2 linked regions of the Drosophila melanogaster genome follow. The protein of the gene in region 1 purifies or fractionates together with the protein of each later gene. This does not show direct contact. Each region holds a gene or a part of one and is shown on either strand. Other genes may lie near its edges.

Region 1 (3,917 bases):
TGAAGATAAGCGAATGAAATCGAGTTTGATTTTATAATACGTACTTTCGATTGCTCGGTTTCCGAAACATTTGCAAATAAACAGACGTAAAGTTCGCCAAACATTTGAATAGAAAAGTCTGACAATGCTCTAGGCTTTATAGCCCTTTCAAAAATAATGTTTGCATCGTTTGGCGATCGATTTCCGCAGCTTGACCCAATTATGATTTCCCGAGCATTCGAATGGAGCTTCCACTTAACCCACGGACACACGTTCACTGTGGCTGCGATAGTTGCATGTGTAAGCGTTCGTGTCTAATCAGGAACGTGGGGAACTAAAAAAAAAAAGGGGGGGGGGGCTCTCCAGATCCCTGGCCGTTACACAACCACCGAGATGCTCTTGAATCGCTGCAACTGCGGCAGAACTGGCAATTGCAATTGACGCACACGCATCTGCGAATATGTGGAATGCAGAGTGCCTGAAAGGGGGAAACAGCGAATGGAAATAATACAGGCAAATAAAAATAACACTCGGAATGAGTAATGCGACCTAGGGGGAGCGCCCACCAAATAATAATAAATGAACAGCGAAGAAGAGATCATGACGATACGATGATGTATGAATTTGGCCCAGACTTTTACTTTTACTAGCCACAGCTAGCCAAGCAGCTAGCATAATTATCGCCGTTTACCGGGCTTTGTTATGCCACTTCGCGCGCGATGTGTAACAAATTTAAATGAAATGCATAGTGAATCGGGCAGTGAATTGTATGGAAGCAGGGCAATAAAAACGGGCGCCAATGGGGGCGGGCTAACTTGGCTGGCAAAACAAAAAGGTGTATAAATAGACAATGCCGAAACCGCAAATAATAACCAATACCAATACTGCGGGCGAACGGGCTGCGAAAGAAAGCGGCGAAAAAGTCATAATAAAAATTATAATAATGATTAAAAAACGCCGTCGATGTGGATGTCGATGTTGATGTTGCCGTTTGCAGTTGAGAAATGTAAATGCCACAAGGCCAAGCGACAAGGCGAGGCCGCCAATACACACAGACAAACCGAAGCCCGTGACACAGTCATCCACTGTAGTGTGTTCTCCAAGCCCCCTGCGAACCCGTACTCGTGTTCGTGTGCCATTGTGCATGTCTGGCGGCGATTATCGGATTTGGAGCGAACGACAACCACTGTGCGCCTTATCAGCAGCGACAACATGACACCCACCAGGGCCGTAGGCATGGCTGATTGCCGCTGCAAGGAGGGGCTCTCAGCTGGGAACTATTTTCAGATTGTAAGAAACATCATATGGATGTTTAAGCTAACATGCTAACAAACTATGATAAGCTAGGTACCTAAAGCAATATCAATATAATCACTTGATGAAGAACAAATTCTGTAACTTCCCCCTCTGGCGAATGACCGCCTACGCAACTGCCTGCCTCACTGGAAATCCCGGTTGCCCGATTACTAACCGCAATTGGCGAGGACCTTCTGCAGCGGCATGTCCTTGGGCAGCTCCTTGGCGGACTCGTCCAGAGCCTGGGCAATCTTGTAGTGACTGTTCTTCTTGGTCCGCTTGTCCTGCTCCTCGCTGCTCCCGCTTCCACTTCCGCCTCCGCCGCTCAGCGCCGGCAGCTTGCGGACGATCTTCTCGATGGTGTCCCGGTATCTGTCCACCTGCCGCTCGATCGCCTCCAGCTCCGAGTCCTTGCTGTCCGACTTGCTCGATCTGCGAATGCGAAAAGGACCATTTTGACACGGGTTTAGCACGGGTTAGGTCATCATCGGCAGTCCACTATTGTTACGGCTGTCATCGCGCTTTGTTATTGATGCAGTTGCTCTGTGGCTGCTTCTCTGCTGCTTTTGTTGTTGTTGCTGCTGCTGCTGTTGCTTCTTTCGTGATGAGGCAACACACACCTGTCTGTCCACCTGGAGCGCACTTACACAAACACACACCCACAGACATCCGACCGACAGACTGGCTGGCCTTTGAACTTACCTTGACAGATTTTCGGCTGCTATTTTGATTTTGGCAAACTGCCTCTTCATCTTGGCTGATTCGCTGGTGCCGCTCGCGTCTCCAACTTGAACTGAACTGCTGTGTGTTTGTTTGCGATGTGCAATTAGCTGGGCATTGAGTAAATACTTAAAACAGGCAAATTAGTCATTCTTCAACGATGTTTTACGGAAAAGTGAGGCGGGTGTGACCGCAGCGGGAGCGCTGGGAAATGACAAAAGGCTGGAGAGCGCCTTTTTCGAAAGTTCGTATTTGGTAACACTGTTTGATAAATGCCTGTTGAGATTTCTCAGAGCTTAGGCTAGAATTATGAATTTAAGCAATGGTTAATTAATGTTTATTAAATTTCAATCTCCTTTAATCTGAAACCATTGCTTAAATTCGCTGAATAGGGGAATACCCCTTACTACTTGTAGCGGTACCAGACATTTGCGCTAGGGTAACCACTGTCGAAAACACCCGAATTCTGTGGGGTCACACTGAACTCGACCGCCTTGCTTAGCTGCACGTGTGCGTGCGTAAATAATAGTTTTATTGTTATTTTACTCTCGAAAATGACCCAGGCGGAGATCGTGAAATGTCTGCGGGAGGAGTATGAAATCGAACACAACAAGGATCAGAAGCCGGAGAAGGAGGACCTGCCCGCCATCACCAAAAAGTTCTATCAGCGAGTCTTGGAACTGCTGACCATTCACAAAGTGCCCTACTCCAAACAAGAAGGTGAAACCATTAATGAAAAGCCTTAAATCTTTAACTTTATCGTATTTCCTACAGATGAGGAGACCTACGAAGAGTACCTGCTGTCGGACACGGAGGAATCGGGAAACAAGAAAAAGAAACAACAGGGAAAACTGAAAAACCAAGACTCCGACGACGAGGATGTAGAGGCACGCATTGCCTCCATCAAGAACAAGCTGCGCCAGAAAAAGGGACCCACAACGGAGCGACAGCAGAAGCGACGCGAATCTAAAAAGCTTAAACGCAGCAAGGGCGTCCAGAAACTGCTCCTCTCCTCGGCCAAAAACCTCAAAAACGAGAACGTCAAGCACCAGAAACTGAAGAATGGCGTGGTGAAATCAGAACAGGAGACGGAGGACAGCAAGGAACAGATCCAGCCGGTCAAGGTGCAACCGGTTTACAACCAGGAGGCCAAGATCGTCTACTCCAAGGTGGACTTTGCCGCCAATCCTGGAGGCAAAGCCAAGAAGTCTCACCAAAACCCCAAGGAGATTCTGAAGAAGCTGCGCGACACCAAGAAGCACCTAACCGAACTGCGCGAACAGGGCGAAACGGACAAGGCGGCGGAGATCCAGACGGACATCGCCTGGCGCAACGCATTCGACAAGGTCGAGGGCAAGAAGGTCAAGGACGACACCAAGCTGCTGCAAAAGGCCATCAAGAAGCGGCGCGTGGAGAAGAAGAAGTCCAAGACCAAGTGGACTGAACGCAAGCAGAAGGTGGAGCACGACAAGGAAAAGAGGCAAAAGAAGCGACAGGAGAACCTGGAGAAGCGCAGCAAGGACAAGAAGAACCGGAAACTAAAGACGGCCAGCAAGAGGGGTCGCATCATACCCGGCTATTAACTATGCTTACTATAGCCCTTAAGTGTAAAGTAGTGTAAATGTATGCCACGTTGAAATTCAACTCAGAATGCTTTAGAAAAAAAGTGATCTTTCTGAAATTTACGTTTTTATACTTTCGTGTTAGAAATTTACTTTTCCGGCCTCGACACAGTCAAAATTCCAGTAGACAGCTAAATTCCCAGTTCCAAGCCACACTATTTGGCTCCTCGTTTTTGTCCACTTTGTGTCACTTTGTGTTCCACTGTGCGTTGCGCGGCTTCACCAAAGATTGGCAAGAAGAAGAACGGCGAACAGCTGAGACCGATAACAACAATCGATTGATATCGTAATCGTTTAGTT
Region 2 (3,917 bases), on another chromosome or scaffold:
GAACATGTTGAACAGCTGCTCGAATCCGGTGATGGTGTTGATGAAATGCTGTGCCTTCAGACGCAGTGGAAGTGCCTCCTCCGAGAAGACAGTGAATTTCTTGGCCATCGACGGCGTCATCTGGAACAAGTGTGCGGCGGTGGCACCCTTCATGTCCATAATGAAAACTACTCCATTGACATTGGCGTAGTCGTCCTCCAAAATGGCAATCTCCTGCATTGCCTGGGCCACTTGCATGCACTCCAGCATTGTGTACTTCTCCACTGGCACCAATCCCATGCGCCAGATCCCGATGCGAGGTCCATTTTCATTCAGCGGAGTGGGCAGGTAGATGATGGCACTGAATTGACAGAATTGCATTGATAAATTAAATTAGTTAGCTGGCGTCAAAATCCTTACCCCGTTTGATGAATCTCCCGGAACTTGCTATCCGTGGTGTTGGTAACTCGGAAATAGTCCGGATACTTGGTCTTCAGCGTGTAGTACTTATCTAACTTGGACTTGGCCCGCTCCAAACTGTACTTGCAGCCGCGCAAGAAAGCCACCAGAAACTGATCATCCATTCGGGGATTTAGATGCGGCTGCTGCTCGATCCATGTCTTAAACGCCTGCAGATCGGCTTCGAGACGTTCGGGATCCTCCTTGAGCTGCTCCTTGGCAACTTTTTGCAGCTCTGGCGTAAGTGGACGGATTTGCGGTGACATTTCTAGGTCGTTTGCGGTCAGGAGGAAGTACTAGTGAACTGCTCGACGATTCTTGAGGCACTACCTGGACAATTTACGTTCTATTGATGGTCGATTATACGGAGCTTTATCAATTAATTGATAAGCGTCCGATTGGGCGCCATAAACCAAACAAAGACAAACATTGTGAAAAGTACTAAGATAACAGGCGCATTTCATAAGGAATGCTTCAGTTTGAATTAGCCAAAGATCGAGGAACCCACAACCGGTTTTAGCATACATAATTAACGCGTTTTATTTGGTGTTTTATTTTTGGAAGGGATAGTAGTCCAGGCCGGAGTTGTAGTTGAACTTCTTCTTTTGCTTCTTCTGGGCGGCCGCAATGATCTCCTGCACATCCTTGCGATACGCGGGTGGCAGCATCTCCTCGTGCAGCGTGCAGGGCTTCTGCTCGGGCTCCTCCACCTTGAAGATGTAGCGCCGTATGATGTCGATGTCGCGGCCAAACTCCTCCTTCAAGTCTGCGATCTTAGTGGGCGCCGTATCAAAGGCGATGGTGAAGTGGGTGCCTTCCCGGTGAACCACCCCGTGTTCGCTGACTTTGTGGGGCAGGGCGCGGGATCCCAGGTTCTCCAGCTTCCGGATAATGCCGCCCTTGTCCAGGATGGACTCGGCCGTTCGCCTAATCACGGAAATCAGTTCGGGCTGCGGGCGGTGTACAATTCTTATTTACTTTTATGTAACTGCCGGTGGATTTCATGTGCTACTCACGCGAGGCAATTGGCGGAGCACCAGTGCTAGTTCGTAAGAAGGCATTGTGACCGGTGAATTGTATGAGCTGGTAAGGAATTTAATTTCTTATATTAACGTTGTTTCTCTCAAGTTTTAATTCATTAAAAAGTTAGTAAATCTAATGTAATTGTTGACCCACCAGCTGATAGTGTTAACAGCTGATGCAAGGAAAGTACTAAAAATGATCTAGCGCCTGGCGCACATGCTTACACCTTACAGTGTGCCAAAATCTATTGCTCCAGTGAATTTAATGTTCAAATTAATATATTATATACAACAATAAGCGATGCTCTTGTTACTTTAAAAGCAATAAACAATAATAAGAAGTTTCTTCCAAGCTCAATAATAGCTTTCTTCATCTGTTTCAACGTTATGTTATTCCATAAAATTATTAGTTTTCAAGGCCACAATAATATATTTAAAAAGTCTACAATTAACGTTAAATTATAAAAAAAAATGGGGGCACGTATTAACGAAAGTTTCATATATTTTATATAATAATAATTAAACTTTACAGTTGCTCTCAATATGGGTTCATATCCCCGCTAGATGTTAAAGAGTTAGAAATTAGGTCGCCATCGGTCTCTGGTCACACTGCAAACGCAGAGGTGTGCCTATTCAAACACATTGCGGTCACACTGTGTATTGATGCCGAAGTGAAAAAACGAGCGGAAAGTTGCGAGCGGATAAAATTGTTTTTTCGCACGCCAAAAAGGAGAAACAAATGCTTGCGTTGTGTGAGTGCGGGTGTTTTAACTGTGTGCTTGTGTGTGTGTGCAAATGTCGCCCGAATTATGACGCATGCGAAAGTGCAGGCGCTAAATAAAACCCAAAATCGAAAGAAGTTGCAACTGCAAAGCAAATGCTAAAAAAAAAGTTAGCACAAATAACAAAAAAAAAAACGGTGGCAGATCTAGAAGCAGAGTGCGTGCATTCGGCAATTGCGTTTACTTGTGTGCGTGTGTGTGCGAAATTATGTAAATACAACAATAGTAGAATTCCAATTGTCCTCTCTTTCTGCTTTTCTCAATTATGAAATGCAGTTGCATCGCTCTCTATCTCTATCGCTCCCTCTCTCTCCTCACTCTCTTTGCGCATCGAAATGCCAGTGCATAGAATTTTCTTATTTTGCACTTATCACTAAACAACTCCCAAAAAAAGTGTTTAAATTCTCATTATCTATAATTTCCTTCAACTTCATTTTTCTACCTGCCGCTGCAACTGACACGTCTGCATTGCCACTCTTTTTTGTTTTTACATGCTTTCTTACCTGCCCAACCACCGAAAAAAAAAAAAACAAAAATGAAATATATCTGACTCGAATTGCTCTCTTTCATAGAAAATTAAACATCGCGCCGCGCAACGCTGAAAAAAATATAGAAAAACAAACGGAAAATGAAAACGAAAAAGCAGCCATAAAATTAATTAACCTTTGCGGGAAAATATAAAACAAAAACGAATAAAAGTTCTCATCTTTTGCTCTTCTCCCTCGCTTTCTACCTTTCTCCCTCTCTCCTCATCGTCTGTGGATTACATTATCTTCTGTGGATTATTATTATTAAAACAACAACAACAACGACGGCAACAACAAATACAGTGGCAAGCGGATCGAGCAGAAGCAGCAGCAACAACAAACTGGCCGAATCGGAAAACTCAGCGCAAAACTCCAACAACATGAGTTGGGGCACCGAGCTATGGGTGAGTTTTTCCTGGATTTAGAGGGGCTATATCTTCAGATAAGAAGTCGTATTTCATTGATAAAACAGGGGGTTCCTATAAGCAACAAATACATAGTTCTGCTTGTTTGAGGAGTATGAATGTATACCTATAGCTAAAAATCAAAACAAATTCGTAGTTTAGCTTGATCAGAATCATTAAGGTGTCCATTACCAGCTCAAAGAAGCTGGGGTCGGAAAAATCGAATTTTTGAAATTTGAAAGCTGGAATCGTTTGCCCATTTTTTGCCCATGTTTGCCCACCAATTAGTTTTTTTTGCCCACGTCCAGTTTTTGAGATATGAATTTTCGAAAAAGTTCGAAAATTTTCGAAAATCAAAAATTTCGCTTTTTTCAAATTTTTTTTTTTTAAATCGCAATAACATCGTTTGCCCACGTTTGCCCACCCTTTAGAATTTTGAAAAAATTTATACTTTAGAAAATATAAGGCTTTTAAGTTTACCTCGGTCTAATCAGAGAGTAAATCGTTTGCCCATCTCTTAAAACCAAATATTATCAACAAAAAACGTTTGCCCAACCATTATTATTAGTTTTTATCGTTTGCCCACCCTTTAAAAAACCTTTAACAAAAATTTTTTTTCGATTGCCCACACTTGAAATACAACTAATTTCGTTAGCCCACCTCTTCAAAATAAAACTTTTCAATAAAAAACGTTTTCCCACCATTTAAAAATAAATAATTTCGATTGCCCACCTTTTAAAACTA

The links.
Region 2: the proteins of RhoGAP92B (region 1) and Cip4 purify together in Drosophila melanogaster (affinity purification with western blotting; one study listed by BioGRID). This does not show direct contact.

What each region holds. Positions count from the first base shown.
Region 1 is NT_033777.3:19,903,421-19,907,337, reverse strand, and holds the start of RhoGAP92B (Rho GTPase activating protein at 92B), read right to left. Parts: upstream 2,175-3,917; 5' UTR 2,028-2,174; coding exon 1,978-2,027; intron 1,890-1,977; exon of another isoform or gene 1,708-1,889; coding exon 1,451-1,707; intron 1-1,450. Other genes in the region: Surf6 (surfeit 6), read left to right, coding at 2,550-2,715, 2,770-3,578. UniProt on the Drosophila melanogaster protein: GTPase activator for the Rho-type GTPases by converting them to an inactive GDP-bound state.
Region 2 is NT_037436.4:4,362,283-4,366,199, reverse strand, and holds the start of Cip4 (Cdc42-interacting protein 4), read left to right. Parts: upstream 1-2,225; 5' UTR 2,226-2,337; coding exon 2,338-2,452; intron 2,453-3,072; coding exon 3,073-3,173; intron 3,174-3,917. Other genes in the region: CG33514 (uncharacterized protein), read right to left, coding at 1-340, 400-704; mRpS6 (mitochondrial ribosomal protein S6), read right to left, coding at 990-1,388, 1,455-1,499.